2 linked regions of the Nothobranchius furzeri genome follow. The protein of the gene in region 1 interacts with the protein of each later gene in a pairwise test. Links are inferred from orthologs where the notes say so. Each region holds a gene or a part of one and is shown in the gene's direction. Other genes may lie near its edges. The genes, in order: zcchc10 and sfmbt1.

The links.
Region 2: the proteins of zcchc10 (region 1) and sfmbt1 interact in binary tests that used the Homo sapiens proteins (3 or more experiments, as listed by UniProt). The two-hybrid records come from large-scale screens. The link is inferred for Nothobranchius furzeri from reciprocal best matches to the Homo sapiens genes ZCCHC10 and SFMBT1.

What each region holds. Positions count from the first base shown.
Region 1 is NC_091750.1:56,821,015-56,837,241, forward strand, and holds zcchc10 (zinc finger CCHC domain-containing protein 10), read left to right. Parts: upstream 1-6,893; 5' UTR 6,894-6,978; coding exon 6,979-7,019; intron 7,020-7,726; coding exon 7,727-7,888; intron 7,889-8,447; coding exon 8,448-8,489; intron 8,490-11,148; coding exon 11,149-11,374; 3' UTR 11,375-11,791; downstream 11,792-16,227. Other genes in the region: golgin subfamily A member 6-like protein 25, read right to left, coding at 1-1,444.
Region 2 is NC_091743.1:58,014,722-58,030,857, forward strand, and holds the start of sfmbt1 (scm-like with four MBT domains protein 1), read left to right. Parts: upstream 1-8,060; 5' UTR 8,061-8,152; intron 8,153-16,136. Other genes in the region: prkcdb (protein kinase C delta type), read left to right, coding at 223-254, 359-444, 1,199-1,328, 1,451-1,551, 1,640-1,718, 1,886-1,989, 2,146-2,319, 3,622-3,713 and 5 more. UniProt on the Homo sapiens protein: Histone-binding protein, which is part of various corepressor complexes. Mediates the recruitment of corepressor complexes to target genes, followed by chromatin compaction and repression of transcription.

The sequences.
Region 1 (16,227 bases):
GACATATTTCATCAATGTATTTCTTATTTTCGCTCTTTGAGTCAAATGCCAGCTGTGCCAGTTCTTTTTCGTGTTTCTGTCTGACCTCCTCGTGTCCCACCATAGTTTGAGCAAGTTTGTTCTGGCACTCTTGGATGGTGGATTCTTTTTTCTCCAAGGAGTCGGTTAGCTGTTTGATTTCCAGCTGCTGTCTCTTTGTTTCCTGCAGGTGAGATTCTTGCATGCCTTCATTCTTCTCTTTCTGTTTTTGGCATCTGTCTTTCAAAGAGTTAATTAAAGCCTGCAGTTCTTGATTTTTCTGCTTCAGCTCCTCAGAAAATCTCTCGGCACTAATTTTCTCACGCTCAACCTTTTCAATGTCTCCACTAAGGCTTGCGATTTTTTCATCGTACTGCGAACACTTGTCCTGAAGATCTGATACCTCTTTATGAAGAGCGGCTTCAGAGTTCTGCAACTCTTTGAATCTTTCCTTGTCTTTCAATTCCTGCAGTTTGATTTCCTCCTCATCATTTATTTTTGTTGTGTTTTTAATTCCACACCCCATTTCTAGAGTCCTCTCTTTCGTGTGACTCAAATCTGTCAAAGGTTCGTGGAGTTTGGGCGCGTACGCAGTCCTTTGTTTAAACACGGTCATGTCCTCACTTTCTTCAACGAGGTCCTTAATTCTTATCTCAAGGTGCTCGACTACGCTGAACCAGGTCTCTGTCTTGTCATTGTTAGCTCTAATTTGATTTTTCCACTTACAAAACTCTTCGAAGGCTGACTGTAGACGAAAAATGTCCGTTTTAAAGTTCCCCAGTTTGTTCCTAACCTGACTGACCAATTCGTCTTTTTCAACAACAGAAACGTTAGCTTGTTTTAGCTCCTTCTCTGTTTCTCGTGCTTTGTTTTTCGTGGTTTCCAGTTCTGTCTTCAGGGTTTCCACCTGTTCAAAGAGAGTGGAAAGTTCTCTGTCTTTTTGCGCAGCTGTGCTATGCTCTTTACTGAACTGTAAATTTTGCTCAATTTCTTTTGTATATGTCTTCAGTAGCTCATTTAGTCTGCTAATTTTATTTTCACTGTCGATAACTGCATTCTGTAAAGCGCTGATACAATTGCCACTAAACTGGACTGTATCTGATTGCGGAGCCGGTCGTGTTTCCTGGTAGGGCCAGGCGTGTTTTTGATCAAACTCACCCATAGCTGACTGCAGCTGTCGTCTTAAGTCACAGATGAGCTGGTCTTTATTTTTGACTAGCTTAGCATCAGCAGAGGCTATGAACCATTGAATTTCATTGGCCCCAGATTCAGCTGCGTTTTTCAACTTACAAACGTCAACAATCTTTTGGCTTCTTTCAGTCGTCACTTGACTCACAAATTTGTCATAACCGTTCAAAGTGCTCATCAAACTAGAAAATCGGTTTCTCATTACCTCAATATCCTGCTTGGTCTGGTCAAGACACATTCTCAACTCATGATTTTCTGCTTTGAGTTGATCAGTTTCCTTTTTCCATTTTCGTTGCAGATTTCTAGACATCTCATTCTGTCCCACTGAATAAATCGGTCTTTCTTGCATTGGATCACTTTCTATACCACGATAATATGGCACCTGTGTTTCACAATATCTGTCTTCTCTTTCAAGTTGCTTAGGGAAACATGTTTTTCCCAGAAACATGGTTTCATTACACTGTCTAAAATCCTCTTGTTTCTTGAAGTTTGATGTTGAGTTCATCATTTCCATTCTTGAGAACATTTTGTTTAAGCCCTAAGTCTCGATAAGTTAAACTAACAGCTTTTCCGGGTAGTATTGTTTCTTAAATCACACAACAGGGATAAGAAACTGATTTCGGAGTGATACTCTTAAGCAACAGAATGCAACTGAACTGGCTTCTCAAAGGTTCTGATAGGTCTGTGGTAGTGATGATGTCATCGCCCTTTGATATGTCATCATAACAACTAATCAAGAAGAAGGAGACAACTCTAGGCTCCGCCCACTTGTATCAGGTGACCTTGTTGCCATTATTATTATTCAATGGACATTAATGCAACTCGATCGGCTGCGTGCACCCCACTAATTATATATCAAAACGAGCGGCTTTGCCATGTGAGGTGTGCTAATATTTTTCTAAGCAGTTCGCCTTACGATGATGAAATATTTAGCAAAAAACATTGAAAGGTTTCAAATTTTTATGCTGTGCCACTCTAAATTAGCATAATGATTTCATTATGATCAATTAAATGTGTGCATAATTAATATGTTAATTAAATGGCAGGCCTTTTTAATTAATTAATTAATTAAATTGAGGCATTTTTACACATGCATGAATAAAAATTATTCTTTATTAATAGTTGGATTGTCACTTTTGACCCTTTTTTATTTACCTATATATTTATTCGTTCTTTTTTTATTATTTTATTTTGTTTATTTACTTTTGATCTTTATCGTCCTCTTGGGGAATTTTGTTGCATTGACACCTGTAGCTTTTTGGATTTTTTAAAATAAAAAAGCTCATTAATTTAAATCTTTCAAACAATATTTTTTGTTTGAATGTTATAATGATTATTGGCATTGATATTTTATTTATTTTTAAGTCAATATTAAAGATGGCATTTTTGGTGGGTGGAACTCAGCTTCAAATGCACTGTAGTCATGGTAACCAAGTAATCAGCATTCAAATATCAATTCTGTAAGAAAAGTAATTGATCTACTTTGAATATTTAGCACAATTTATTCCTGTTGTGTGTTTTCCTGGGTACTTTGTCTTATTATTGCAATTTTTAAAACTTTTATACTTCTTTTATGTATAAAGTAGGGCAAAAAGTGTTTAGTCTGCCTCCAATTGTGCATGGTCACCCACTCAAAACGATGAGAGAGGCCTGTAATTTTCATCACAAGAATATCTGAACCACAAGAAACAAAATGAGAAAAGAAAAACTATAAAATCACATTGTCTGATTTGTTTTGGATCTATTGGCAACTTATGGTGAAATATAAGTATTTGGTCAATAGCAAAAGTCCATCTTAATACTTTGTTTACAACCTTTGTTGGCAATGACAGAGGTCAAATGTTTTCTGTATGTCTTCACAAGGATTCCACACACTGTTGCTGGTATTTTGGCCCATTTCTCCTTGTGGAGCTCCCCTAGAGCAGTGATGTTTTGGGGCTGACGTTGGGCAAAACGGACTTTTAACTCCCTCCAAAGATTTTCTATAGGGGTGAGATCTGGAGACTATGAGCCACTTCAGGACCTTGAAAGGCTTCTTATGACACCACTCCCTTGTAACCTAAGCAGTGTGTTTATGATCTTTATGATGTTTTAAAAACCCAGCTTCAATGCCCTTGCTGATTGAAGGAGGTTTTCACTCAAAATCTGATCATAAATGGCCCCATGTCCTTTACATGGATCAGTCATCTTGGTCTCTTTGCAGAAAAACAGACCCAAACATTCTCATGCTGGATGCTGTTGAGTAAACATCTGTCTGTAGCATGAAGCTGCCGTTCCGGAGCTGCCTTTAAGTGTGGGAACGGCAGAAGAGAATAGCTCTGTGTGTGTGCCTGTTCTCCGCATCGGAGCTCTTGCCCTGGCGAGCAGACAGCTGCTCAGGGGAGAAATTGGTGTGTGTGTGTGTGTGTGTGTGTGTGTGTGTGTGTGTGTGTGTGTGTGTGTGTGTGTGTGTGTGTGTGTGGCACAAGATTATGAGGACACACACAGCAAATTAATAAAATAATGTGGTTCAGAGTCTACAAAAGGAACACGGCTCATGCCCACCTTTTGTTTACCTTATGGAGCATATTAAGCGCCGCACACAGGCTCGGGGATTTCCGCATTCCTGAGAAGTCCCTCTGATTTCCTTAACACTACACCACCTGTTCGAGACCGAACTCATGCCATCCAGCCCGACCAAACCCCGACCATGCCAACGCTAATGTGTAAGCGCCATTATACTGATAACGAGTTCCAACAGGTGCCATTAATACAGGTAACGCGTGGAGGACAAGGAGCCTTCAGATCTGTGAGAGTCAGAAATCTTGCTTGTTTGTAGGAAACCAAACAGTAATTTTCCACAATTATTTTCATTTAAATTCTGTAAAAATCAGACAATGTGAATTTCTGGATATTTTTCTCATTTTGTCTCTCATGGTTGAGGTATACCTATGATGAAAATTACAGGCCACTCATCTTTTTAACTGGGAGAACTTGCACAACTGGAGGCTTTTCCCCATTGCTGCTTGCACCAATACCACTAGGTATTCTGTCTTCTTTTAACTTCATATGTTTTTTGTCATTATATCATTACTTGTGTTGTTGTTTGCGCCAGGGATGTGAAGAAACAGTTTTGACATTAAAGTGGAATTAAGTGAATTGGGAAGCAGAGCAGATCTCAGGATTCTCTTGTAGAACCAGCTTTCATTCATGATGCAGATGCTGTCCAGAACAAAAATAGGTCTGTTAGTCACAGTTATTCTGACTCATCCCTTCAGACCTAGACTTCTGGGAGAAAAACTGAACGCACATCTCCCTCTACATTTGCATTTAAAGCTATATGCCATTCAACTTTGTTTTCTCTGTTTAGCTTCTATAGAAACAACAACTTACCCAGCCTGTATCTCTTTCATGGGTGTTGCACCAGATGTTGCCTTGGTGACTCTGTAGGCCAGATGTAGACTCAAATTACAATATTTCAGCACTCATGGATAAAACATTTTGCTTCACATTTAAACCCTGTCTCCATCTATGACTCAACATGAAACACCATTGACTCATGTGATCAGTTACATAACGCTGTGTGTGCATCGTGCCAGCATCACACCAGCATCATGTCTGCACGCATGTAAATAAGAGTCACCAAAGAACATCTGTAGATCCATCATCAGGACCAAGTCCTAAATGATGAAGTCAATTAAATTGTGTTTAATTCAGTTTATTTATATGGCATCAAATTACAAGAAGAGTCGTCTCAAGGCACTTCACAAAGTAAACATTCTAAAGCGGTTCAGTTCATTAAGCCAATCAGTAAAAAGTTTCCTATATAAGGAACCTAGCAAATTGCATGGAGTCACTGACTGGTGTCAGTGACTTTACAGCAATCCTCATACTAAGCAAGTAGCGACAGTGGAAAACTCCCTTTTAACAAGAAAAACTTCCAGAGGATCCTGGCTCAGTAGGAATTGCCATCCGCCACGACTCACTGAGGATCGAGGAAACAGAGCAGACACCCCCCACACATACCAGGAAAAGTGCTCTTTATTTATTTATTTAGGACAGTGCATGTTAATGAACATAAATGTAAATGCAGCTTACATGAATGTAAACATGCCAGATTATAGCCAAAGGCTAATTTCCATCTGTTGTCCTTAGACATAAAAAGACATAATGATTCATGAAAATTCATCATTCATTCATAATCAAAACTCCATCACCAAACCTACGCCATTCTATTCACAAATAAAACATCAAAACTATACAACTCGTACATGATCACACACTTGATTTGTCCATAACCAGTTTTTAACATTTGCCTTTAAACAAATTGAAAGTCGAGCATTCTCTAACGGGTTGAGTGCCTGTTAAATAGTGACAGGCACCAAAGTAAAATGGTAAATGGCCTGTATTTGACATAGCACCTTCTAGAGTCCTGGAACCTCCCAAGGAGCTTGTTGTGGCCACCAGCCTGGCCTCTTCAGGTGCAGGAGCCAGGATCACCCAGCCTCGGTGATCAGCCAGGCACCGCCCCTCTTCCTCCTTTCTTCCAGGCTGCTGAGGAGCACAGCTGAGCTAAATCATCTGGTGACCTACACCTGGGATAAAAAGGCCGTGCCTTCAGCAGTCTGGGAGGCAGCAGTGCAGGGGCTAAGCTGTTATTCATGCCTCATTTTGGTTTCAACCCCTTCATTTTGATGAGTCTTAATTTTAATAGTTTTAACTCTGAGTGATCCAAAGGGATCTTTGTTTGATGTCAACTTGGTTGACTTGGTTTTAAGGTTAACGTTGTAGTTTACTGACTTTGGGATTTTAAAACACTCAGTGTTTTTCTAGTGTGTCAGATTTTACTATCAACTTGAAGATTTTGGAAACACTTTCTGTTCAGTAAAACTTTTAATATAAGTTTTAACCAGGTGTTTTTAATGTTGGTAATTGGTCTTTTAGTGTTAACCTTTTTGAGAGTTTTTTTTTTGTTTGGCATTTTTTAAACAATGCTCACCATCTGTTTGCACTTGTTTTTAGAACCTTTTATAACAATTAAACCCATTTTAAACCCACTATCATGTTTCTTGTGTTCCCCTTCCTTCACATTTTAACACCTCCTGTCGGGGACGTAACAGTGCTTTACAACACAGTCATGCTCACCCTGGTCTGGTCGATGAGCTACATTCTAGCCACAGCTGCCCTGGGGTACACTGACAGAGGCGAGGCTGTCGAGCGCTGGCGCTACTGGTCCATCCGACCACCATCAGCAAGCAAGGGGGGTTAAGTATCTTGCCCATGGACACAACAACAGCGACAGACTGAGTGGGGCTTGAACCTGCAACCTTCCGATTATGGGACGAGCACTTAACTCCTGTGCCAGTGTCACCCCATACAAAGAGTAAATACGTAGACACCTCATGGGATGGCGCTGCCTATTGGAGCTGCCGAAGTGGCCGGCTGCCATCTTAGTCTCCATTCGGCACACTACCAGAGGCGAGTCTGCCTCTGTCAGTGTGTCTGTCAGTGTAATTAAACAAAATAAATAAACAAATACAAATCTAAAATCCTATCAGGTAGGCTAGAAAAGTCACTATAGTAATCCCACATGATCTATTTACAATTGTACGCGGGTTGTTGTAACCGTGGGATGCACAAAAACGGGCATAGTTGCGTACTCTGCATTGCCTTCGGAGAATGAAGAGACCCATCCAAAATGGCGACGACACGGGTGGTTACGTATTCTTTTCACTCCTTTACATTTCCGGAAATAGGCCCTGAGCTGACACCAACGAAGAAGAGACTTCAAACATGGCGACTCCCATGCATAGAATAATAGCGAGAAGACAAGCGTGAGTAAAACATTTTTAAACTTAGCGTAGCAATATTATTTTAGTATATTTTGTGTCTACATTTGTTACGTTACCACGTGCGGTCTATAGCTGACCTACAGTTTTACATTCAGCCTGTAAAGAACGAACTTGGAGGGACGGGCATCCCGCGGCTCTACGAAGCGCTACGTTGTGTGAAACTGTACTCTTCTGAAGCTGTTATTTATTTTTATAATACCCCAGTTTAAGTAAAAAATAATTTTGTTTACATCGATGTTAATGTCAATATAGTTATAACCAATAGTCGGATCAAAGTATTGAGAAGAATCGGGACTTGGGCAGAGTTTTGATAATTTGTGATTATTGGTGGGGTTTCAGTTTCTTTGGTGGAACACCTGCGAGTTTCTGAGTTTAAAATGAAGTATTCATTACTAGTGTATTAATTATGAGATGGCTACATAAAGCTTCGTGTAGCTTCTCAACTATTTTCTTTGCCCAGAGGTTCACGTCTTCGATGCATCATTCATTGCTTATAGTGACACCTGCTGGTGGAGTTAAACTACGGCAGCCATCATTTTTTTCATAATTTATACTGGAATCATTTGTTCCATTCATTATTAATTTTAAGTAATCTGACAACAAATACATGTATGTGCAAATGTCTTACTTCTGTAGTTTATGTATTTTTTCCTGTTTGGAAGGTATTTATTTATTTTTATTGCTTACAGGGAGGCAAACAAACAAAATGTGCGTTGTCAGAAGTGCTTGGAGATGGGACACTGGACTTACGAGTGCACTGGGAAACGGAAATATTTGCACCGACCGTCAAGAACAACCGAAATGAAAAAGAAGCTGAAGGAGATAGAAAACAAACCTCTCAGCATCACAGGGTGAGTCATCTCTGACAGTTTGAAGGACAAGTCATTTACACCTGGACTTCATGTAGGGTTGGGCAATAAATCGAAAATGTATCGTTATTGAAATTTCTGACTCTTATCGATAAATGTTCCCATGTCATTAAATTTGATAATAAAAAAATGAAAAGATGTGTGTAGGTTGGCAAAATCCATGTCCCTTTAAGAAGCTGTGCAACCTTGAGTGACTTAAAAATTTGATTCAACGTAATACATGTGACAGCCCCATTTATGGACAACTTTTGTTTCTGCGCATACCAAGGTGAAATCCTCAATATATCGTGATATTGATTTTAGGCTAGATCGCCCAGCCTAACTGTGCATAAATAAACCCACAAAAAATGATAATTATAACTGAGAACTCAGTTTTTACAGTGAAATTAGATTTATAAATAATTCTTAAATTTTGACAGTGTTTCAAATGATCTCAAATAGAAGTTGAATTTGTTTAACTAAAATACATAAAAATACAAACAAATGATTTTATCAATAGTGACTGAACTATATATAATGTTGTGATTTTTCCACATCACAGACCTGGAGGAGAAGCTTCCAGTGAAAAGAAAACAAAAAAGAAGTAAGTAATCTGATAATTTACTAGGGATGTGTATTGGTGAAACTCTGATAATACGATACGTATCAAGATACAGGGGAGACAAATTCGATATATCACAATATATTGTGATACATTCAGCCAGATGATATTAGCATTTTTTTTTGACAGAATTTATTGTAGGGAAACTCAGTCCAGTCCAAACTGAAATGTAACATGTTCAATATAAGGTATCTTATAAAGAAGAAGAAAATATCATTTCTATAGCGCCTCTCAAGATAAAAATCACGAGGCGCTTCACAAAAACAAAAAATGTAAAAATATAAAAAATAATTTAGAAAATGGTTAAAAATATATTTAAAATGAGCAAAAAATAGACAATTGTGATTAAAAAAAATGTTAAGAAAGAGAGAGAGAGTGAATAGGAAAGAGGGAAATCAGTGCATCCTGAGGAAGGTGGAATAGAGAAAGGGATTTATATTTCAATGGTGGAAACAAAACCCATTGCACACTGCTGCTACCTAGTGGTCGGCGTTTGAATTGCACCAAAAGAAAAGAAAATACACAAATGTTTGCATGTAAATTCCATGTGGCTTTTAAAGATCGATACAATATTGCAGGAAAAAATATCACAATATATTGTCATATCGATATTTTCTTACATCCCTATAATTTACTATATTGAAATATTTTAAAGAAGTTTCATAGCTGTGGTGTGGTCATTTCTAGTCATTCATTTTTGGATGTAAAAGATTTTTTTATTCATAAAGATGATATTTTAATTCTTATGTTCATATTTCTCAACTTGTACCACTTTAAACAGAATTGTGACTTAACAGTTCCATCTAGTGGCAGTTGATGAGAAGTGAAACCATTTTCTTGGTTATTGTCTGTTTTTAGACAAGACTCTTAGTGAATTTACATTTGATTCTTGTTTCTTTTGTACTGTGATAGTAGAACAGCTTCACATTTTCCATCAGTTAAATTGTTGTTACAGATTAATTGGAAAGTCAATTAAAAAAGTAATTATAAAAAGATTTAAATGTATCTTAGCCTGTTTAACCCTAACGCCCCCCAATTGGGTGCCTCTACAGTTTCATGTCCCAAACATCTACAACTGTCCACGTTCTCCAAACACAACTAAAACCACAATCAAACAGCCCAGATGGGAAACAAGGCCATTTTAAATGGTAATAAATTAAGATACAACGATCTTTGAACTTTATTTTAGAAGAGCATCTGACCTTCTCTGGTGTCTGCTGGGAAAAAACCCTTGAACACATTTAGTTGAGGACCCTGGAATAAATAAAACAATTGACAACATTTCCTAAATGGAATTTGAACTCACAACCTCCATCCTGTCAGCACTTTCACACAGGGCAGCTCTTCTAACATACAGTTCAAGTATTATTTTATCTTAATGTATCAAAATCCAAAAATTACTTTGTTTACAATCTAAACAGTTTTGATAGTAGCTGTAGTTGTGCTCGGGGACTTGGGACATGGAACTCCAAAGGCCCCCAACTGGGAGGTGCCAGGGCCCAAAGAAAAAAGGCCTTGGGCCTAAAGGGTTAAAAACTGTTCAGTAAAAAGTACTTAAATTCAATTTTAATGTGTTTGCAATAAATGCTTTTTTTTTGTTGTTGCATCAACTGGTGTTTACATGTGTTTCAAATAAGCTATTATTGGCTAAAGAAGACACATAAATAAGGGTATTACTGCTAAATCTCCAATACATTTGTTTGAAAACATGTACTTTTGCAGAAAATCATCTCATATGATCTCAGAGACAGGACAGCTGCAAAGAACCAACATTTCAGACATTTTTTGTTATTTTACGAATGTGAAAATCTTTTTGTCACTATGTTTGTGCAAGATGACACCCACAGCTGCCTGTTTAACATTCCAGTAGATGTATCAATCAATCAATCAATCAAAGCTTTATTTATAAAGCGCCTTCCGCAACCCTGTCAGGAAGCCCAAAGCGCTGAACATGGTACAGTTGTAAGTAATTATACTGAATAAATCAACAATAAAAGAAATTCAAATTACAAAATACAAAATGGAAATAACAAAATAGATGAAACATTCCGGTAAAATACAAATGTGTGAAACACAATTGGATTGAGTGGATGGATTGAGTGTACCAATGAAAACTGTGGAATGGATTCAACATAATAGAGGGCCATAATCAAACATGTTCTGGAAACGCCAAGTGGAGGAGGTGTGTTTTTAGGTGATTCTTAAAGACTGGCAGAGAGGGGGACAGCCTAACTGAGGGTGGCAACTGGTTCCAGAGTAACGGTGCTAGGACTGAGAAAGCCCGGTCCCCACGGGTACGACACCTAGACCGAGGGACAGCAAGCAGGCCTTGGTCAGAGGAGCGCAGAGCGCGTGATGGGGAATGTCTGTTCAGGAGTGTGGCCAGATAGGGGGGAGCACCACCCTGGAAGAAATGATAAACAAAGACGAGGATTTTGAATTGTGAGCGATAGGAAATCGGAAGCCAGTGCAGGGAGGCCAGAACTGGACTGATGTGGTCCCGTTTCCTGGTCCCAGTCAGGAACCTGGCAGCGCTGTTCTGCACAACCTGTAGGCGACGCAGTGTTGACTGACACAACCCTGCAAACAGGTTTACATTTTACTGCTCCCATCCTGTTCTCTCCTTGTGCCGCGCTTTTAGGGCAAAAGACTCCAGCGACGACAGCAGCAATGCCGACGGCTCCTCCAGCGACTCGTCAGACAGCAGCGACTCCTCCAGCTCATCTTCAGACGATAGCAGCAGCGACAGCGACGACAGCTCCTCCTCATCTTCCTCCTCCACCTCTTCGTCATCAAACAGCTCAGACTCGGGAAGCAGCAGCGATTCAGATCAAGGGCCTCCAAAGAAGAAGAGAAAGAAGAAATGAGCATGCTGGGAAGAGTTGGCTTTCTGTTTGCATCTTATTTTTCTGCGTTATTTTCCCCAAAAAGTCCTCAAGTGTTTTATTTTTTTCAGCTGGTTTATAAGGTTTGATTTAGTTGGACAACGATGGCAGATGAACAAGAGGCTGGTTTAAGCTGTGTTGTTCTGTTTTTCTAACTTCTTGTCTCTGTTTTGTTGACTGTGGCATTTTCTCAAGTTTCTTAAAGTATTTGCAATTAAAGAGGAAACTTTTAAAAAACAAATAGAACCAATGCAATTGTTCGAATACTTTAATGTATATTTAAGCTAATCCATATAATCACAAATGTATGTAACAGCTGGTAAAGAAAGGGGAAATATTGTTCCTGTAAAGTTTGTTCCTGTAAAGTTATTTCATTTTAAATAAACTAATTTGTACTTATCAGGGCCTTTAGATTTTTGACAGCTTGTCAAATTTGGGATTTATAAATGAAATGAAATAATATCAGATCATGCCAGCTGATCTCCAGGCTGCAGTTTAATGTCTCCATTTTTAAAAAGACTAGAAGTAAAGTTTAGAAACAGATGGGTAGGTTGCTGAGGTCCGTCTGTGTTTGGTTGATCAAAAATATTTCCGCCTATGGTGATCAACATAAACTGTTCCTTTAAAAGGTGAGGCGTCAGAAAATTGTCTTGTCATTTAATCCAACTAATCTGAAATGAAATCCAACTAATCAGAAATGAACGAAGGGATTATGATGTTAAAATGACTGGGGCTTTGCTGCCCGGAGAAGTACAGAAATTGAGCATCGCAAAACTGTGTTTTGGAAAAAACTCATTTTTTACTCGTATTTTTAATCTTAAAATAAAACATAATGCAGTAAAATTGTTCGGTTAAAAGACAATCTATCAATAAACAAGCTGGGAACAATAAAACGTGCTCGGTTTTCTCCTGTACGTCAAACACGGGCAACCTTGCGTCACTGAAATGTTGCGTTCACTGTAGTAGGAATTCAAGAGCTCTCCATACACTACTGGTAATTTCTGTTTATTTTTTAATTAATACACATTTCACTAAAAAGCTATACATTTTTATTTAGTATGAACACCTTCATTCTTTAATACGATCTTAATTATTTTAACATTACAAAAAGCATATTTAAAAAAATCGGTTTTCTTTACGTAAATGGCGTAACCTCTTATTATTATTACTAATGTTGATATTGTTGTTGTTGCTAGAGGTACTTACTCGGGGTCCTTAGGTTTTTTGTAAGAATACTACACACTAACTACACGTTCAGTTCTTAGGTTTGACATTTTTCCATCAGCACGCGAAGGCGGCTCCTCTTGCTGTCTGTAGTACCTGCGGGCTGCGTAACTTAGCTATCAGCCACTTGTATTGAAGAGTAATACAATTCGCGAGAGATAAAATGGTTTGCTTTGTTTTCCACTCGATGTGCTGTCGCGTTTCAAAGAAAATATGAGGCGCATCTTTTTAGTTTTAGCATTTTAACTGTTAACAGCGTTTCGCCGAGTCCATTTTCTGCGTTGAACTGGAAGTGGAAAAAGACAAAGAGAAAAAGAGCTTTCCAACAGCTAGAATGGTTTGGGCCTAAAAGAAGACAAGAGGTGAGAATGCTCGCTGTCAGAAAACAACGTTACTTGTTGACCTCATGGTTGTTGTACATTACAGTCAGTGTTATTTAAAATTTCCGCAAAATTATAAGCTTCCGAAGCTAACTAGCCTAGCATGTAGACGCTAACGGTGAGATGCAGGTAGTCCTAAGGAAGCACATTAGCCTCATGCTAAATATTTTGAATACACGGTTGGACTTTGTGTCTTTTAGGAGTTCTGGAGCTGGGAAACGTTTTTTATATTGGTGACATTTGTGTCACCTTTAGTCCGTGCACGTTTACTAAACCTGCGAAAAGCCTCGCACTAGGGGTGAATTTGTTTTTGTTCCTGGGATGTTCTGACATCTGATATAAACTCAGAAACGTGGCTGACACCACTTAAAAACAGATAATACTCAAACAAATACGATGTTATGTAACATACAACGAGATCACTGGTGGTAAGTTTGCTGTAGAAATAAACAATCTGTTATGTAGTGTGAAACAAACGTTGCAAAATATACACAGGATAAACTAAACCATACTAGCAGTACACTTGTTTACTTCACATACCACAGTGTAGCCAGTCCACAACCCATGAGAGCGTAAGGCTCTTGTAAAGTGACAAACAAATAGTTTAAAGGTGCACCAAAGTCTATCAAAAGGTTGATGATGATGGGTTTTTTAGGAAGCCATTTTACATGTCATAGTTGGGGGAAGGGCCAGAAAATGCACCATAAGTCATTTAGTATTCCTCTGAAGAGTTAAAGATGATTACATGTTCAGGTTATATTAATGAGAGCTCTGGGGTGGCCCTAAGGTCACTGACCTCTGTCAGTCAGCTGTAAACTGGCACTGGTGGTACATAGAGCCTGTGGTTTGATCATGCAGTGTATTCTTAATGTGTCTTTTGTAGAGTGTTTTACATTAAAGTTGACATGATTAAACTAGAGAAAATGCTTGACCTTGAGAAGAGACTATAGCTAAAGGCTACTGGCCTAGTCGTCTAATTGAAGAAACTTAATTGCAGGTAGATAAAATAAACTGAAAATACCAGTCTAAGTAGAAAGAAAAAAGCATCGAGGTAAATGTGAGTACAAAATTAGAAGTGTTTGTTTAGCATTTTCTAATGCAGGGCAAAGCTTTCTGGAAGGGTCTCCTTGCTTTAGAAAAAGCCTTTCCCAAGATTAAAACATCAGCATCAGGTTTTCTCTTTAACTTAAAGTTTTAGGTAACATAAGCCATTTGTACAAACGGCTCGCTGGTGTTGTTGAGAGTTGAAACGCTGGACTGAGTGATGTCTGGGTGGAATAGTTTGCATTAGGGTAGCCACCGATTGCTGTGTGCTGACAAATGAACAAACTTGTTTTGGTTGCTCCCAGATGTCAGTTTTTTGTTTATATGAATACAGAGAAAACAAACAACTAACGTAAACAACATTAGTAATGTGTAACTGTGCTCCCAGTGACGCAGCTCGCTGCTGGAATCCGCTTCACTTCCTGTTTAGGGTTTTACCTAGAGGCTTTAGTTTAACTATTTCCCTGGTTGTCGAGGCACAGGGCAAATGCTCTGTCAAGATGTTCTGGTGACTCATTTATTTCAGACAGAGCTGAGAGTTTGTTGTCTTTGGCCTTGACTCGGCTAATGTACAATGCAGTCGTCCTACAGCGCCACTTTGCAGGCGGGATATTTCAGGAGCAATCCTGTGTCTGAATTACCTGCCAATGATTCAGAAAATCATACCTGAGTTAACAAAACATCGCTGTTTAGCCTTTTTTTAAACAATTTTCAGTCTTTCTGAATACTGAGCTCAATTGATAGAGAAATAAAAGAAAACATAGCAAGTCTTTTCAGAATCGACATTCCTACAGGCAGAAAAAGTGAACTGAGTCAGTAGCTAAAGGTATGTCGGTTTGTTATCGAATATTTTCAAAGAACAGCTTGTCATGAGTAGGTTGCTTGAAGTGCTCATTCCAGAGTCTGCCAGTTTAATTAGTCCAAAACTTAACGGACATCAGCCACTCTTTTCTTTAACTCTCTGTTCTGTTGCTCACACAGCAGAAACTATTGCCACTCATTGTGTCCTGACCTCACACATCTGTTCTGCTTTTGTTCTCTGCGACGAGAGTTAAGCTCTCATGTGGCTGAATGGTCCTGTGAAGGTGAAACTCATTAAGGCCTTTTCATTTCATAGGGCTACTGTGAAAAACCTTGTTCTTGCTTTAGAAATGGTGTGATAGCCATATGTTGGAGGAGTGAGATGTCTCATCAGTTGTAAAGGAATGTATTGGACAATATATTATTTTTTAGCTGATTGGACATTTTCCGATTAGTGGTGTTTTTCTCCCTCGAGGTTGCATGTCAGTTATGGAGAGTGCAGTTATGTATTTTGAGGTTCCATATACAAGCTGTAATGTGCATGGTAAGGTTAACCCTTTAAGCGCCAAAGTCGCAGAATTGCGACAAGCAGCAACGTTGGATTTAATAAGCCACAGCAGCAGAAATGAGCCCTCATGCACTTAATACGTTACACAGCGGGGTGGCAGACACCTGTAACTTCAATCCAGGCAGCATTTGTGGGTGTGTTACTATTCAAACTTTTGGAGTATTTAGAGCTTGAACCCCGCCCACCAGTCGCAGATTCGCGGGGGTTGTCAGATCAAGTGAGAGTGAGCGAGTGGTAGAGGGAAAAACAATGCCGAGTGGAATGTTCAGTGCTAACGAAGCTCTTCGTCTAGTACTGGCAGATTTGGATTCGGAGGAAGAATATTTCCGAGGATGATCTGCGGTCTTCTAGTGAGATGGAAAGTGTGGCTTCAGCGCGCAGCAACAGGGAGTCTGTCAGCGACAACGCGGTTACACAAGCAGCCCATCCAGCCCATCCAGCCCTTACCTTGTCCGATGTTCCACGTGTCCAGGGTCGGGGAAAGAGGTTTGGCGGGGGGGCTCGAGCAGCTCGAACCGGGTCTGATCCTTCGCTCCACCGTGCCGGGGGGAGTGGGGTGAAAACTCCGCTGGTGATCGATTCAGGCCCGGGGGTGTAATCTGCGGGAATTGGAGCCGGAGGGGTCGGGGAAAGACAGGTGGCAGGGGGGCATATATATATATATATATATATATATATATATATATATATATATATATATATATATATATATATATGTGTGTGTGTGTGTGTGTATATATATATGTGTGTGTGTGTGTGTGTGTGTATATATATATGTGTGTGTGTGTGTGTGTGTGTATATATATATGTGTGTGTTA
Region 2 (16,136 bases), on another chromosome or scaffold:
GCTCTTTGCGTATTTACCTAAACTGCAACATTCGAATTGCATTGCATAAATGATCTCCCATGTATAATGCTGGAAAAGTCCACAAAGTGCTTGAAGTACTTGAATGTGATTTTAGCAAACTACTAATACATGGAGTCCACTACACATGGTTGACAGTTTTACGTGGAGAGTGTCTAAATTCCTATTTCCTTGATATCTTACATTTTTATTCGTTTCATGTAGGGGACTCAACAAGCAAGGTTACAAATGCAAGCGTAAGTGGTTCTTTAGTTGGCGTCTTAAATTTATTAAACATAATTTTTCACGTTCTGTTGCTTAGAACTTTTTAACACCCAATCTCACTTTTTGCTTTGCCCAGAATGCAATGCTGCAATCCACAAAAGATGTCTGGAAATGGTTATTGCCAGGTGCACTGGAACAGCAACCAACAGTCGTGAAACTATGGTGAGCTGCAAATGTAATGTTCTACAACACTCATGCAAAATGTCAGCCACAGATCTGACACTGAAGTCTGTTTGGTGTTACAAATGCAAGATCTGATCATTTATTTTTCCATCTGTGGCTTGAACAATGGCTGTTAAAGAGGTGTGTGATATGGCTGACTCTATCAGATCCTTCAAGAAGATGATTTAAATAAATCAAAGTTTTATTATACCAAATGCAAATACAAGCCCTTTACCATTTTATTATTTTCCTAGTTATCAAGTCACTGAACAATTAATCCAAACCATATTTGCCTTTAAAATCACCCCCACAGAAAGATAAAATGGCACATTTAGTAGGAAAAACAAACTGTTTTTAATCTAGAGTAAAGTGATCAGGCTGAGTGTGTCACACCTAAAACAGTCCGTGCAGAAACATTTCCTAAACATGCATCATTCTTGGCCTTTTTGAAAGAATGAGTAGCGTATAGATAAGTAGGATCAGTCTGAATTGGCGGATTTTCAGCATGTTCAGATTGTTCATGGTCTAATACCATCATGTGCCCCACCCCATAAAGTCATAAAGTTATTTAACTGATAAAATGAGGTTTTCCATTATTTCAAAAATAATTTAAGTGTAGCTTGCTAAAAATTCTCTTCACTCTAAAGCAAATTCAATTCAATTCAAAAATACTTTATTAATCCCAGAGGGAAATTGATTATGCACACACAAATGAAATGTTTCAGTGGGTTTAATTGCCTCTATGTGCATGCAGTTCCAAAAGGAGCGTTTCAAGCTCGACGTGCCACATCGCTTCAAGTACTACAACTACAAGAGCCCCACGTTCTGTGACCACTGTGGCAGTCTGCTTTGGGGTCTCTACAGGCAAGGCCTTAAATGTGATGGTGAGCCCGCACAGCTCTTTATCATGTGGAGTTTCTGATGTTCATTTACTTTCTGCTGTTTCTAACAAAATTGTTTTTTTATATGTTCTGTGTGTCTGGGCATTCTTTATGCTGCTGACTAGCGTGCAGCATGAACGTTCATAGCCAGTGTCAATCAAAAGTGGCCAATCTGTGTGGAATCAACCAGAAACTCATGGCTGAAGCTCTGTCTCAGATCTCCATGGTTAGTGGAGCAGCATTCTTTGAGCGTTTTAAAATTTTTTTATGAATATTTAGCCTATTAAATTCAAATGTTTATTTTTCCACCCTAGAAAGCTAAGAAACCTGATGAACCCAGTGGACCCGATGTTGGGATCTACCAAGACAGAGAAGACATTACAAAACCAAGTGGTAAGACGTCTAGAGAATAGCATCGGCTGTGCTTGTAAAAGTTTCAGTCAGTTATTAAGTTCCACACTCACGGTGGTGTTTAGTTTCATCATCTAGAATTGTTAAATTTGCATGAATATTTCCATCTTTGCATATTAATTTACTCAATTGCAAACATATATTAACAGAGGGCAATGAAGTGAGCCCCACCCCTGTTCCAACTCGTCATCTTCACCTCACCCTTGACCACTTGCAGTTGCTCAAGGTGTTGGGAAAGGGCAGCTTTGGGAAGGTACACCCCATCTTTAACATAAAGTCACTGTAATGAGCCCTCGTTCTTTTTGTTTAGTAGAGAACTCTAATTCTGATCCTTTTCATCATCATTGTCAGGTGGTCCTGCTGATATGCTCTCTTGTGTTCCTCACAATATTGCATCTGACATCCCCAGGTAATGCTGGCAGAGCTGAAGGGGAAGGGACAGTTCTTTGCTGTGAAGGTTCTGAAGAAGGATGTGGTTCTTATGGATGATGATGTTGAGTGCACTTTGGTGGAGAAGAGAGTCCTGTCTCTGGCTTGGGAGAACCCTTTCCTCACCCACCTTTACTCCACATTCCAGTCTAAAGTAAGCGGACACAGAAAATACGCTTCTGGTAACAGTGCTGTGCACAACTGTATTAAACTGAGCAGGATTAATCATTTCGATTAACTTTGAACAAATCAAGGCTGTTTTGTGTTTGATTAACTTGACATGAGTGTAGCTTAAAATGGAAACCAACAAATACCGTTACCTTGGATCTAATGACTGCCTTAGACTGACTTTTATAACAATTCTGTTGCTTCTTATACAAATAAAATTCACAAGGGCAGATTGTTGTCTGCCATTAGCCCGCTGAATGCTGTTTGGTATTTACATGCCTGACCACTCCTAAGTTTGTGGGGGACCTGTGTTTGCAGCATAGGGACATAATGTTTCTCCCTTATTATCAGGCATGGACGTGTAGCCAAACTGCACAAACATCATCTTCGTTATATATGAATGGGGCAACGGTACCAAAACAGTTAAGTGTAATCAGAGGGTTTGCAGGCTTGAGCCCCGCTTGGTCCGTCACTGTCATTGTACACTTGGGCAGGACGCTTAACTCACCTTGCCTGCTGGTGGTGGTCGGAGGGACCGGTGACGCCTGTGTTTGGCAACCTCGCTTCTGTCAGTGTGCCCCAAGGTAGCTGTAGCTACGTTAGTTCAATGCCACCAGTGCATGAATGTGTGCGCGTGGATGAATGACTAATTGTGTTATGTGCCTTGGGGGGTTGTAGAATCCTAGAAGGTAACAGGCCATTTACCAATGAGACTTTAGTCTGTAAATGATGTACAGTAAATTAAATTTTATTAAAAATGGAACCCATGTTCTTTAAAAGTCTCTGCAATTCATTTAAATTAGAATTCCTGAACTTTCTTTTTTCATAGCAATGCTTAAGCATCCTTGGATTAAGAGAGAGCAAATGTGTTGTTATTGTTATCATCATTATTGATTAGATTAATTGGTGTAAATTAATTAGTAGAAGCAAAGATTCAGATGCTACTTTAAGTTCTGACTGCAAATTATTACCAATTATAAACTAATTATAGTCATCTGCCAGAATTTAATTACTTGTATTAAGATTGCTGGATGTTTGGTAACCTGTACATTTTGAGGCTGTTAAATAAACTAATGAATTAAGTTAGAATGTCTGCACTAAACTGTCTGCTGATAAAACACATCACTGTTTCTATTTCTCTTGATTTTCTCTAACGGGGAATAAACTATCAGCAGGGAGGAAGAAATTTCCCTTCTGTTTGATAAATAGTCAGACCCTTACCTTCCCACTGGATGTGAATGCATTCATGTCTGGTTTGTGTCTTGACAGTCGTATCTTGTTTCCACAGGAGCACCTCTTCTTTGTAATGGAGTACTTAAATGGAGGCGACTTGATGTTTCACATTCAAGAGAAAGGCCGCTTCGAAGTGGCCAGAGCTACGTGAGTACACAGGGAGCAGTTCTTTTCCACAAATGAGTTGTGTTGAGTAAATCTGTTTTATCTGTTTTCATTCTACCTTTAGCTTCTACGCTGCTGAGATAATCGTGGGTTTACAGTTCCTCCACTCCAAGGGAGTCATCTACAGGTAATAGGCAGTGCTCAACTAGTGCAATAGGCTGCAACTTCATTTTATTTTAATCTTTTAAATGAGTTTTCTTTGTCTTTTCAGAGATTTGAAGCTGGACAACATAATGCTGGACAAAGATGGACACATTAAAATAGCTGATTTTGGCATGTGCAAAGAGAAGATCACTGCAACAGAAAAAGCCAGTACATTTTGTGGGACACCAGACTACATTGCCCCAGAGGTACGTCTGACAGTCTGGTTATTGTCGTCTTTGATTCTTGCTGTATTTGGAGCCTTTGCCAGTATTCCTACATGCATGTGCATCGCTAATTCAGAACAAAGGGTTCCTCTGGGTTTCTTGTTTTTCTGTTTTACACACCTCTGACTTTTAGGAACTGTTTTCTCAGATCTTGCTTGGACAGAAGTACTCGTTCTCAGTGGACTGGTGGTCATTCGGTGTGCTAGTTTTTGAGATGCTGGTTGGTCAGTCACCATTTCAAGGTGATGATGAGGATGAGCTGTTCGAAGCCATCAGGACAGACAACCCAGATTACCCTCGGTGGCTCAACAAGGAGTCCAAAAACCTGCTTGAACAGGTGAAATTTCGAGTTGTAGTCATATTTCAAGCATTAGAGACTTTGAACTGTTCTTGTAAATAATTCTGTTTTCTTCTGTCGTCTTGTCAGTTGTTTATACGAGAGCCCAGCAAAAGGCTGGGTGTAGTGGGTAACATCCGCGAGCATCCCTTCTTCAAAGTCATCAACTGGACATTGCTGGAGAAGAGACAAGTGAATCCTCCTTTCAAGCCCAAAGTGGTATGTTTTTATCTGACTGCATCACAACTTTAGTGAGAAACATTCAACTAACTGAATTCCCTCAACTGCTTACAGAAATCCCCAGGGGACTGCAGCAATTTTGACCGCGAGTTCCTCAATGAGAAGCCTCGCCTCTCCTTCGGAGACAAAAAGCTCATTGACACTATGGACCAGAATGCATTCAAAGGCTTTTCCTTCATCAACCCCAAACTGGAAAACATGATCAGCAATTGAAAAAAAAGCTGAAACACAGTTTTCACTCGGCACATTTAAATAGACTCTTATTTTATTCTGTTTTCATTTTTATTTGGTGAAGGGTCGACTGGCTTTGAGCCTGACTTTAGCACACTTTCTGGGTTAGAAGACGATAAAATTATGCCAAGAAGTTTGCTGAAAATTCAAGAGATGGTCTTGTCTCAGCGACCAGACCAAACAGGTGAAGCGGAATAAAGCTTCTGAGAGGTAAGAGAATCTATTAATGCTGCAGGGAGGACAATAAACAATGTATTTAGCTTATTTTTGGATACTTTTCATCATTTTTCCCCGTATGAGCACTCTTTTGGCTCTGTATGAATCATTCAGTTAACTGTATCATAAGATTTTAATACACCGGCACAAGTGTGAAACCTTTTTATTTGTCAGACGATACTGCTGTAAAAACCAAGCATCACACATGTAAGCTAAGGCACAAATGGTACACTCTGACTCTGTCCTCTCTCTAGTGTGTGCCTTTGTGCACAGTGTGGTGCCACTTGCTTTTACAAAGCATAGGGGTGTGTGTGTATGGATACTTTTTAGATGCAAATTATTCTCTTGTAGCCAGTAACGTAGTCAGTTGAAGAATGGTCCAGCCATTGTAGAATAACATAAAGGTGAATTTTAAATCCACTTTGAGTGAAAGTATTTAAATTGTGGTACTTTTACTGAAAAGTGCATTCCTCTGTGTAGAGTTTTAGAAATGTGTTCATGTAATATTTTAATTGCTAAGTTAGAAATGCACCAAAAATCTGCTGTTGGAAATAAAGTCTTATTCTCGTTTTCTTTTGGCTTGCAAATGCATCATGAGCAGTAATATAAAATCCAATAGTTTGTCAGTCTGTGAACTCGTTATTGCCAAGTACTAATCCATGCTATCAATAACAAATCTATCTGCATTTTTATTTTCAAGAATCATGAACTTAAAGTTTATTAGAATATCAAGATGTTTTAAGAGAAATCTGAATCTGTTGAATCTGGGGCCTTGGTGGTGTAAAAGTAAGAGAAATCAGCCACCAGATGTGGAATTGTGCATTCAACTCCAGTTCACCAACTTTGTCCAATAATCTGTGTTAAGCTGAAGCATGTTTCTATTCATTCTCCCATCAGACTGTTGGAAGGAGAATTGGCTTGTTAAATACTACACTTGAATGTGATGAAGGATATCTCATATATATATATATATATATATATATATATATATATATATATATATATATATATATACATATACATATATATATTCGTCTCTGTCAGTGTGCCCCTGGGCTGCTGTGGCTACATCGTAGCTCATCACTATCAGTGTGTGAATGTGTGTAAATGGATGAATGATGCACTGTAGTGTAAAGCTCTTTGAAGTCCTTACTCTGAGAGGCGCTATACAAGTGTGGGGCATTAATCATTTATACTTGGAGGGGCATTTTCATTGTACAAACTGATTGTATTATGTCATGTATGTTACAGTAGTTAATGCCAGAATTCATGAAAATCAAAGATGAATACAGAAAATTAATATTGTCTGTAAGTTATGGGTATACTTTTTTATTTTTTACTATTTGTCTTTTACAAATAACTGAATAAATGTGCTTGTAAACTCAGTACAACTGATGTTTGTAAGGGTTTGTAGATACAATGAAATGTTTTGGTATTTAAGCAGATTTTATATTTTACACTCAGTTTTTATGTTTGTTGAATTATAGCTCAAATTGAAATAGTTGTGGTGGTGTGTTACCACCTAGTGGTCAAGGTCATAAAATGCATCTTCCTTGTCTCGTGCAAGCGCACGCACGCCTTCTGACTTGTCCTCTTCCTCTGCAGCTGAACCTCTTTCACTGATGGGATGTTTGGAGGGGAAAAAACGAGAAACTGGTTACACTCGAGCACAAACATGTGTTTAAGGCATTTGTTCGTATTTCATGCAGAAATGCAGTTCTACCCGATGCGACATCAAAGTCGATCTGTTTTAAATGTGTAGAATGCTTTATAATCAACATTTTAGGTAAAACACGTGGTTTAAATGCTTCCCAATTTTCTAATTTGAATCCTCGCCATTTTTACGGCTTTGCAATAATTCCATTGAACAAACTGTTGTTAAATTCACATTTTTTTATATTAATTGCCATTTGAGTGTCTCGCGCAACATCGTATGAAAAACCTGTTTCGGGTTGGCTCAGCACTTCTTTGTTTGTTTCGACCTGCCCATGTTCAGAAATGGGGTTTTCTTTTGTCAGAACGGGCAAAAGGGAGGAGGATTATTGGCGGCAGCAGCCTTCATCCGGTCGGAATGAGTGCTTCGGCTTTCAGATGCTATAAGAGAGGATTTTTACACACCAGAAAGACACTTATTTGATGGAGGACTCGGGTATTTTACGTGGACTTTGAGCACTGCGCTCACACTGTCAGAGCACATTTCCAGCAGTTTCTCCCGCCCTCCCGTCCAGAAGGGAGAGGAAACCGGTGACATGATGTGCAGCACCTTGAGCGATGATGACAAAATGTGCTTTTGGTCGCTAAAATCGGGCGTCATTGTGATGTAACATTTTCTTTTTAAAGTAAGTCTTCATTTAAAACACACCTCTACTGTTTCTTTTTCCTTCTCAAGATGTTCTTGAAAAAATGGGAATAAAGCAACTTGCTATTTTTAAACAACCTCTGCGTTGGTTTTACTGGTCAAAACGCCACTAGTAAGAAAATGAGTCGATTATCTGCTTTTAATAAACCATTAACTATCTCTTGATTCAAGAGAGGATATTAAAAAAACAACCCAGGATGTGTGAATAAATCATCAGCTAAACCATCAGCCTCTTTGTTTTCTTTTATGTTTTCGTATTAAATTGTGTGTGTGTGTGTGTGTGTGTGTGTGTGTGTGTGTGTGTGTGTGTGTGTGTGTGTGTGTGTGTGTGTTGTAAATGGAAGTCAGTATGATGATGAAGCCAGGCTCAGAGGCATACAGGCGGCAGAACATGCGCAGTGGACACTTGTGCCATATTGGAATGAGGTCGCGAAAGAAAAGTGCGTCAAGCTAACATGACGCCGCTGGAGCCAATCCGGAAAAGCTGCGATTAAACCCTTTCGCGATAAAAGCCCCATGCTTTACTTTCACGAAAGCCGTGGCCGCGTATGCGTCTTATTTTGAAATGTCAACCCGGAAGTTAGGCATTTACCTAATGATTGACAGTTTCTGCGAGCGAGCAGGCGGAGAGGAACGGCATCAAAAATCGACTTGTAAAAACTACTTAGCGGTAAGGTTGGAATTTTGTGACTAAATATTCACGTACTTTGTGGTGTTTGGTAGGAATTCCTCGCGGTGTTTTGCACCGTTGCGTCGCGTTCGTCTTTTTTCCCGTCTCTCAAAAAGATGAGTCTGCTTCGGTCTAGTGTAAGCGCCCTTATTGCTCGCCACAGCTTTGCTCCTTATTGCTCAAGCCGTGACGTTCAGTAACTTGACTCGGACACAGGCGGTCCAGCCATGTGTCCAAACAGTCGTGCATGTCCCTCGCAGGCTAATGTTAGTGGTTTTTATTCGCTAGGGGACATTTTTAATTCGGCGTTGTGCTCATTGTGAAAGTTAGCGCTGTAGTGTCTCTGCAAAGCCTTTCATGGCCCATCTCTCTTTCTCTCTCTCTCCCTCTGCGTGAATGTGTGTGTGAATGCAGCGCAATCTTTAACCAGACACAGTTCAAGGATTGTGTGGAAATTTCCAGTTATTTATCCTTGAACAACTCAGTGTTTTTTCACCATGCCGAAGCCTTACATAATGAAGGTTGCACGACCTCATCCGATGTGTTTGTCAGTCAGCAGCGTTCACATAAACGCCACTAAACACTCACAAAACTCAGGTGTTTATCAAGCTGACGATGCTTTGCCGGGTTTAATCAGTTGCCATGTTTCCCCCGCGTTGACTCGATGCAGCTTTTTTATTCATCTGGCCCTTCTTTAACTTCCCTATTGTGCAACTTGAGTGATCCGACCACTGACTGCTCCGCGCGCTGCTCGGGTTGACGTTCCGCTGCGCAGAGGCGGCAGCAGCGACCTGCAAGTGCACGGAGCAATTCACTGACTTCTCTTTTAAAGGTGTCTGTGTGTGTACTTGTCTTCATATGTTTAAGTGGACAAATCTTAACAAACCAGTAACGTGGACATTTCCACATTGTGGGGAAATCTTGCTGGTCCGCACAATGCTGCACCCTTAAACTGGTATGGTGTGAATTAACTTTTGGTTAGGGTTAGGAATAGAACCCCACTGTTTATGGTTAGGCACAATTAATGGGAAATGAATTGATGTCCACACGAACATATAAATACAAGTGTGTGTGTGTGTGTGTGTGTGTGTGTGTGTGTGTGTGTGTGTGTGTGTGTGTGTGTGTGTGTGTGTGTTAATGGGGTGAATCACCATGATCCACTGAGACGGATCTTATTTGATTTGATCTTTCAAACATTTTCAGTGTTCACATTAATGCAGCGGAGGAAGTTATTTAAATCTTCCTATGAGCTGAGAGGGTGTTTATTACTTTATTGTCTCATTTCTCTTTTAAATGACTCAACCTTTAAACTTGCTTGAATTTTATGTAAATTTTTTGGAAACACATGAATTTAATTTCTGAGCAAGTCTAAACAGAGCATAGGGCTACTTGATTAATAATGGTAAAATAACTCAGCAAATTGGGGAATGCTGCTTTTATTTTACTTCTTTAGATGCAAAATCACATGATGTGGCTCATCACAATAAGAGCATGTGATTTCTGCAGAGCACCATTGTTTATCATGGACTTTGATTGCTTTGGCAGTTTTCCACTCTCATACTTTTTAATGTATTTTTTATACATTCACAAATATAGACTATAATAACAGGTAGAGTTGGTTTGAAAGCAAAAAAACTTCTGATTATGTAAAGTTCAAAATTTCCAGAGATCAAAAATTTTAGGTGACTTCAGTTAACAGTTTACATCAGCAGGTGGCAGACTTTAGTTTTTTTGTAGTGAGCAACAACATTTAATAAAACAAAGAAAAACTGTTATGGTAGCCTGTAGGGGTGTGTATTGGCAAGAATCTGGTAATTTGTTTAATATCAAAATACAGTGGAGATGATGCAGTGTGTATATATATGTGCAATTTTTAAGACCGAATTTAATTGGAAAACTCAAGACACATCTGGTGTTATCCCATTGTTGCGTCTGAATGAAAATGGTAAAATCTGCTGCCACCTAGAAATTATGAAATTCACCCTATTAAAGAAATACAGTACATGCTTACATATAAAATAAAACTAAATTCAGTATCATAGCTAAAAAAAACTAAATTCTGTATCATAGCCAAATATATCTTAATATTTCTGTATCGATATTTTCTTACATCCCTATCAGCAGGTGTCAGAGTTGAGTTGTTTTATAATAAACAAAAATGTTTGTTAATGAAACAGAGAATTAGCCTAGATGCTGCATTTTTAAGTAGAGCCGTATCGGGAGCCTAAGCCATCTACTTCCAGACCATGGTTCCCCTGGAAGAAGGAAAAATGAATGCAAGTTAAAAAGGCTAAAAACACAATTTTCTAATCCCGTTTGTTATGTGTCATAGATAAATATGATATCCGTTAGGGCTGCAACAAACGATTATTTGGATAATCGATTAATCGGATGGGGTCTCGACACGATTAATCGATTAATCGGATTACATGGGGAAATTTTTAAAAACTGCTAGGGAAACGTTATTTCTCTCCTTCCTTCACTTTATTTAACACAACATTATTAGAAAACAGTTCAATAGCAGAAAAACAACATGCCATCACCTAAATTGTCTTATAAGGTGTATAGACAGAGACCCTAAGCTACATCTATCTGTGACCTAAAATGCTTGGTCCAAGTTAAACAGCTTAAGGGCAATTCTCATCTGTTTTGTTTGATCTCATCTGTTGACATTTATTTTAAATGTAATTAAACATAGGCTGTGAATTAATCAAAATTGATCACTATTTCCAAAAATGACTGAAAAAATACCAAATAAAACAAAAGTAAATGAATGCCATCCTCCTTGCAATGATGCCCTGGGCAACTGCCATAAAGTCACATCAAGAAATGCTGTTGATCATTCCAATGATCCCAAATAGACTCACATTAGGCCACATGAAAGCAACTGAACCCAAAAATATATTAACCAGTATATAACTGCACTCTCACACAACACGCCTGCAGCAACAGTTAGGACTCCTCCCTCCCTTTTAAAAGCGTTTTTGCTTCCGAGGACATTGTGGTTGTAAAACCACATGCTAGTAGTCTGGCCCCGGTGTGATCAACCAGTTTCTGCGGGAATGTGACGGCGGAACCAGGTCCTGATTAACACTTTGTTGTACCCTGGGCAACAATATTCAAGGGCTCCATCATCACGACCCGAGGATCACCATAATGTGGTCACATACAGAATATTTTACTGTAATATGCAGTAAATATACTCAATACTTGAATGCCTGACAACACGTAACCCGCCCAGGGTAACCTTTGACCCACCTCGTGTGGACTGACCAATGAGGAGAGGGTCTTAACTTGAGGCCCTCTCTTCATTGGTCAGTCTGCATGAGACTGACTCTCAACTGACGTTCAGAGTCATAGGCAGCGAAGCGTCTCTGTGCAGCGCAAAAGCCCGGGTGGACAGTTTGTTTAATGTAGGGTGATCATATTTCCATTTCCAAACAAGAGGACAGGGGATCTGTGCCTATGACGTCACACTATGGCAACACCACACAAACCATGTTGGGACCCATTTTTTGTAAGAACTAAATTAATATCAGATTCTGCCAATAAAAGGGCTCTAAAACAATTCATATGTAAATATTTTGCATATTTAATGCAAAAGCTCATTTTTATGCTTTAGTGCTGCAACAAGGTTTTATTAATAATAAATTATTATACCTTTTGTTTTACTACAGCATCGGTAAGCTTCCTGTGCACAGATTATTAAGGATGCTTGTTTCAGCTGTGAGATTAGACGATAGGATCAATGAAAAAAATAAGTTGTCACACACTCCATGGAAACTTTCAGATAATCCACAAATAGTGGCTTTCAAATGGTTTTGTTACTTTTTGCAAGTTTAGAAAAGAAGCAGATGAGACAGCATGTCTGATAATTTAGTTTTTCATCTGATATATTAGAACATGTCAGTAATGTCTGAGGGGCTTTTACAAACACTGTATAACTAACACTACTGGAGAGGGTATGAATTACACAGAGGCTTCTGGGGAGCCCAGTTATGGGGGGGGGGGGGACATTTTGCCTTGGCCCCCAAAATGTCTTGAAACGGCCCTGGGTGTGTGACTGAGTTTTGAAGGTGATCTGAATTGTATCAGATGTATAAATATGACATGTGTATAACTTATTGTTTTTTACTGGTAAAAACGTGTAGTGGAGATAAATCTACCTACATTTTACTTTGTTTTCTTGTTTTTATTTAACTATTTTCCTGTCCTGTCTGTCTCTCATCTTCCTGCATCTCCTCATAATTCTCCAGAAAATCTGTTGCCTGGATTCTTACTTTTTCACCTCATCAGTTACTTTTGAGCAGATCAAAGAGATCTCCTGACCGCAAAGCGGAGAGCTCGTTTTCGATGCTGCGTGAGGTGAAATCACCACAGCACAGGTGATGAGCTCCGCAGCAGAGCGCTTCAGGCACAAATAAGACAGAAAATAGAGAACATGTGCAGACAAGAACGATCGTGTGCTAATTATAGTTTTTTGGTTGCGCCACTTTGAGAATGGACCGTGCGCTGGAAGCAGCTGCCTGGATCGCTGTGCAACAATGCGGAACCGGTTCGCAGCAGCGCAAGTCTGCAGGCTCTCCCTCGCGCTGATCTGCTGGTACCGGCTCTCCCTCGCGCTGATCTGCGGCTCTCCCTCGCGCTGATCTGACTTGCTCTGGTCTGCGTGCAACGGCGGGCGGGAAGGGGGTGGGGGATGGGGGGGGCGCTTTTGGAAGAGTTGTGCGACACAACGAATCGATGACGCAATTCGTTGCCAACGCTTTTAGTAATCGATTTTCATCGAATTCATCGATTCGTTGTTGCAGCCCTAATATCCGTGAATTTAAAGATGTGTTTTGATGCCAAGAAAGCGCTTATTTTCGAGCAGGGCAGAAGGTTATTTTAGGGTTTGTATATCCAGGATCACCAAATTGATTGAAGCAGAGGAAAAAGGGCTGTAAGGTCGGCGAACTTTGAATCCATCCATCAGGAGGAAAGAACCACCATCTGGCTAGGGATGCACGATATTTCAGCATCAATATTGGTATTGGCCAATCATTTTTGAACATATCAATATGGTCTGATAAGTAAAACTGGACTGATATATTTTTTCCATCTTGTTTCAGTTAGCAGTGTTTCCCTTACATAGGCGTAGCCGTGGCGGCCCGCCACGGCTGAAATCCCACCGCCACGCCTACAAGATCCCAAGATTTATTGATTTTTTTTTTTGCGCCATTTCCCGAAGAAGCAGCGGGAACTACTCTGTTGTTGCTTGTGATCACAGCCGGCAGGCAGCAAGGAGGAGGAGGCAGGGCAGGGTGGTTGCAGCTAGGGATGAGCGTACGGATGAAGCGTTATTGACGAATACGAGCATGAAACGAGTGTAAAACTCGTAAACATCTGTAATCGTGGTGAAGGAAAATCCTCATTGGATAACTGACTGTCTTCATGCTCTGTGATTGGCCAGTCATAGAGCGCCCGCCCCTCCGGGAGCTCAGTCAGTTCGGCCCAGGCATCCACGCGTACACACACACAGTAACGGATCTCTCTGTGCTTGCTTCACTGTCTCTCACATTTCTTCAGTACTCCCTACGTTTTCTTCAGCTTGCCTGTTTTTCAGTTCAATATTTAAAGTTACCTTTTTCGTAATTTACATGGTGCATTTGACAAGACAGAGCTGAAAACGGCTCGTGCATGTGTCGGTCACTGCCTCCGCTCCGGTCGGGTTTTTAAAATTATTTTAACTCTCTCTCTCACACACACACACCTTAATCAACATTGTTTTGTTTAACTGTGTGTGGGAAAAATGCCAACAACGTTAGGAAAAAAATCTGTTTAATCAAATTAAAATAAAAAGTTGTGTCTGGTTCTAGTATTTCATATTTCCTAGTTCCTACAGCATGAGTTCAGATGCATTAATTCATGCACTTAAATAATAATGTTCTGATTTTACTGAAACTTGTTCTGTAATAGTTACTATTGTGATCAAAAATATTTCATCTCAATTCTGAGGCTGCTCTGTAAATAGTTTTCAAATAAACAATAGTTTATAAATAAACAACTTCTGATCAATCCGTATCAATTTCAGATTTAAAATAATGTATTGATGTAAACCACACCCACTAATTTCCAAATAATAAGAGGTGCATTCATCTGTGTATGTCCTTTGATCCGCATTAGTGAAATTTTCAGCACCAGAACAATGAAGCAAAGAAACAGATTCCTGAGTTTGTTAGTAATTTTATTTATTAGGTGCATCTGACCTGTTCTATTTTTCTCTGAAATGAGATCAAATCAGTGCTTCTATGGGTTGTCTCCACTCTGCACTAGAAACATTTACTTTATTATAATGTTCACTGTAATGCATCTTGATGTTCTTAACAAATAAATTAAATAAAAGATATTGGTCAATAATGCCAAATATGTAAATTTGTGTTTCAGTCATTTTTATACTGGCTTAAAAATACTTCATTAAGTCTACTAAGCAGGGGGTGTAGAACATTTTTAATAGGGCCAGCCCAGTAATGATCTTGGGCCAAAATAAAGGGGGCAGAAAGTCAAATAAAGGGGGGCAGAAGGAGATGTTTTTCCAGACGCCAAGAAAAATTAAATGCCAAATCCCCCTGCAAAGTGTGTCACTGAGAGTTTAAAACAGAAATTATTCTTGTGCAAATATTGGTGTATTCACCTTTAATACTAGTTATTAAAATATAGCAGTTGCTGGATTGGTGCAGTTCAAAGTGGAGTGCATCAAATAAAACAATATTAACATAAAGGTGAGACGCTTGTGGAAGAAAACCCATCTCCACGTCCATCTGCTGCACCTAAAGGATCTTCTGACATCCTTTAACTCTGCAGTCAGATACACGAGGGTTTCCTATTTCTCCAGCCTGGTGTCCCAGAGCAAAGGGAACCCCAAGGTGCTGTTTAACACCATCAGCAGCATTGTCTCTCTTGCCTCTCCTACAGCCTCCATCCACTCTGTTGCAGACTGTGAGAACTTTGTCTTCCTTTGTGGACAAAGTCAGTAAGGTTAGATCGAGCATCTCTCCTTCAGCCTTATCGCTGCCTCTCCCGGCTCCAACCAGGCCCATCATCCTAGATAGCTTTGCTCCTGTTTCTTTGCCTGAGTTAACCAAACTAGTTAACTCTATGAAGACCTCTGCATGCCCCCTCGACATCTTACCCTCATCTTTGTTTAAAAGTGCTTTTCAGTCCATCGGTCCCAGCGTGCTCTCTATAATTAATGCTTCTCTGGTTTCTGGCCAGGTCCCTGCTTACTTTAAGAATGCTGTAATCCACCCGCTTCTTAAAAACCGAGTCTTGACACCTCTCTCCATAGCAGCTTCAGACCCATCTCTAAACTTCCATTCATCTCCAAGATCTTGGAAAAGGTTGTGGCTAAACAGCTCACATGAACATAACATCTGTGACTGCTAACAGTCAGGTTTTCGTAGAGCTCATTCTACTGAAACAGCTCTTCTTAGGGTCTCTAATGACCTTCTGACTCACAGTGATGCAGGGGACTGTTCTGTTCTGGTCCTGCTGGACCTGACTGCAGCTTTTGTCACTGTTGACCATCACCTGCTACTGGAGAGGCTGAGAGACTGGGTAGGCCTATCAGGATCTGCTCTGGAGTGGTTCTCCTCTTATCTTTTTGAGCGCTGCTTAGACTCTATCAAAACCTGGATGGCTGGGAGCTTTCTACAGCTGAATGAAGATAAGACTGAGATCCTCATCTGTGCCCTGGACAAGCTGTTTCCCAAAGTAAGAGACTCTCTTGGTCAGCTTGCTTCTCACACCAAACCTTCCGTCAGGAATCTTGGTGTGACCTTTGACCCAGCTCTCACCCTGGATTCTCATGTCAGTTCTCTTGTTCGCTATTCCTTCTTCCATCTCAGAAACATTGCTAAGCTGAGTCCCATTCTGTCCCGCTCTGAACTTGAGACAGTTATCCACACCTTCATCTCCTCACGCTTAGACTACTGTAACTCTCTTT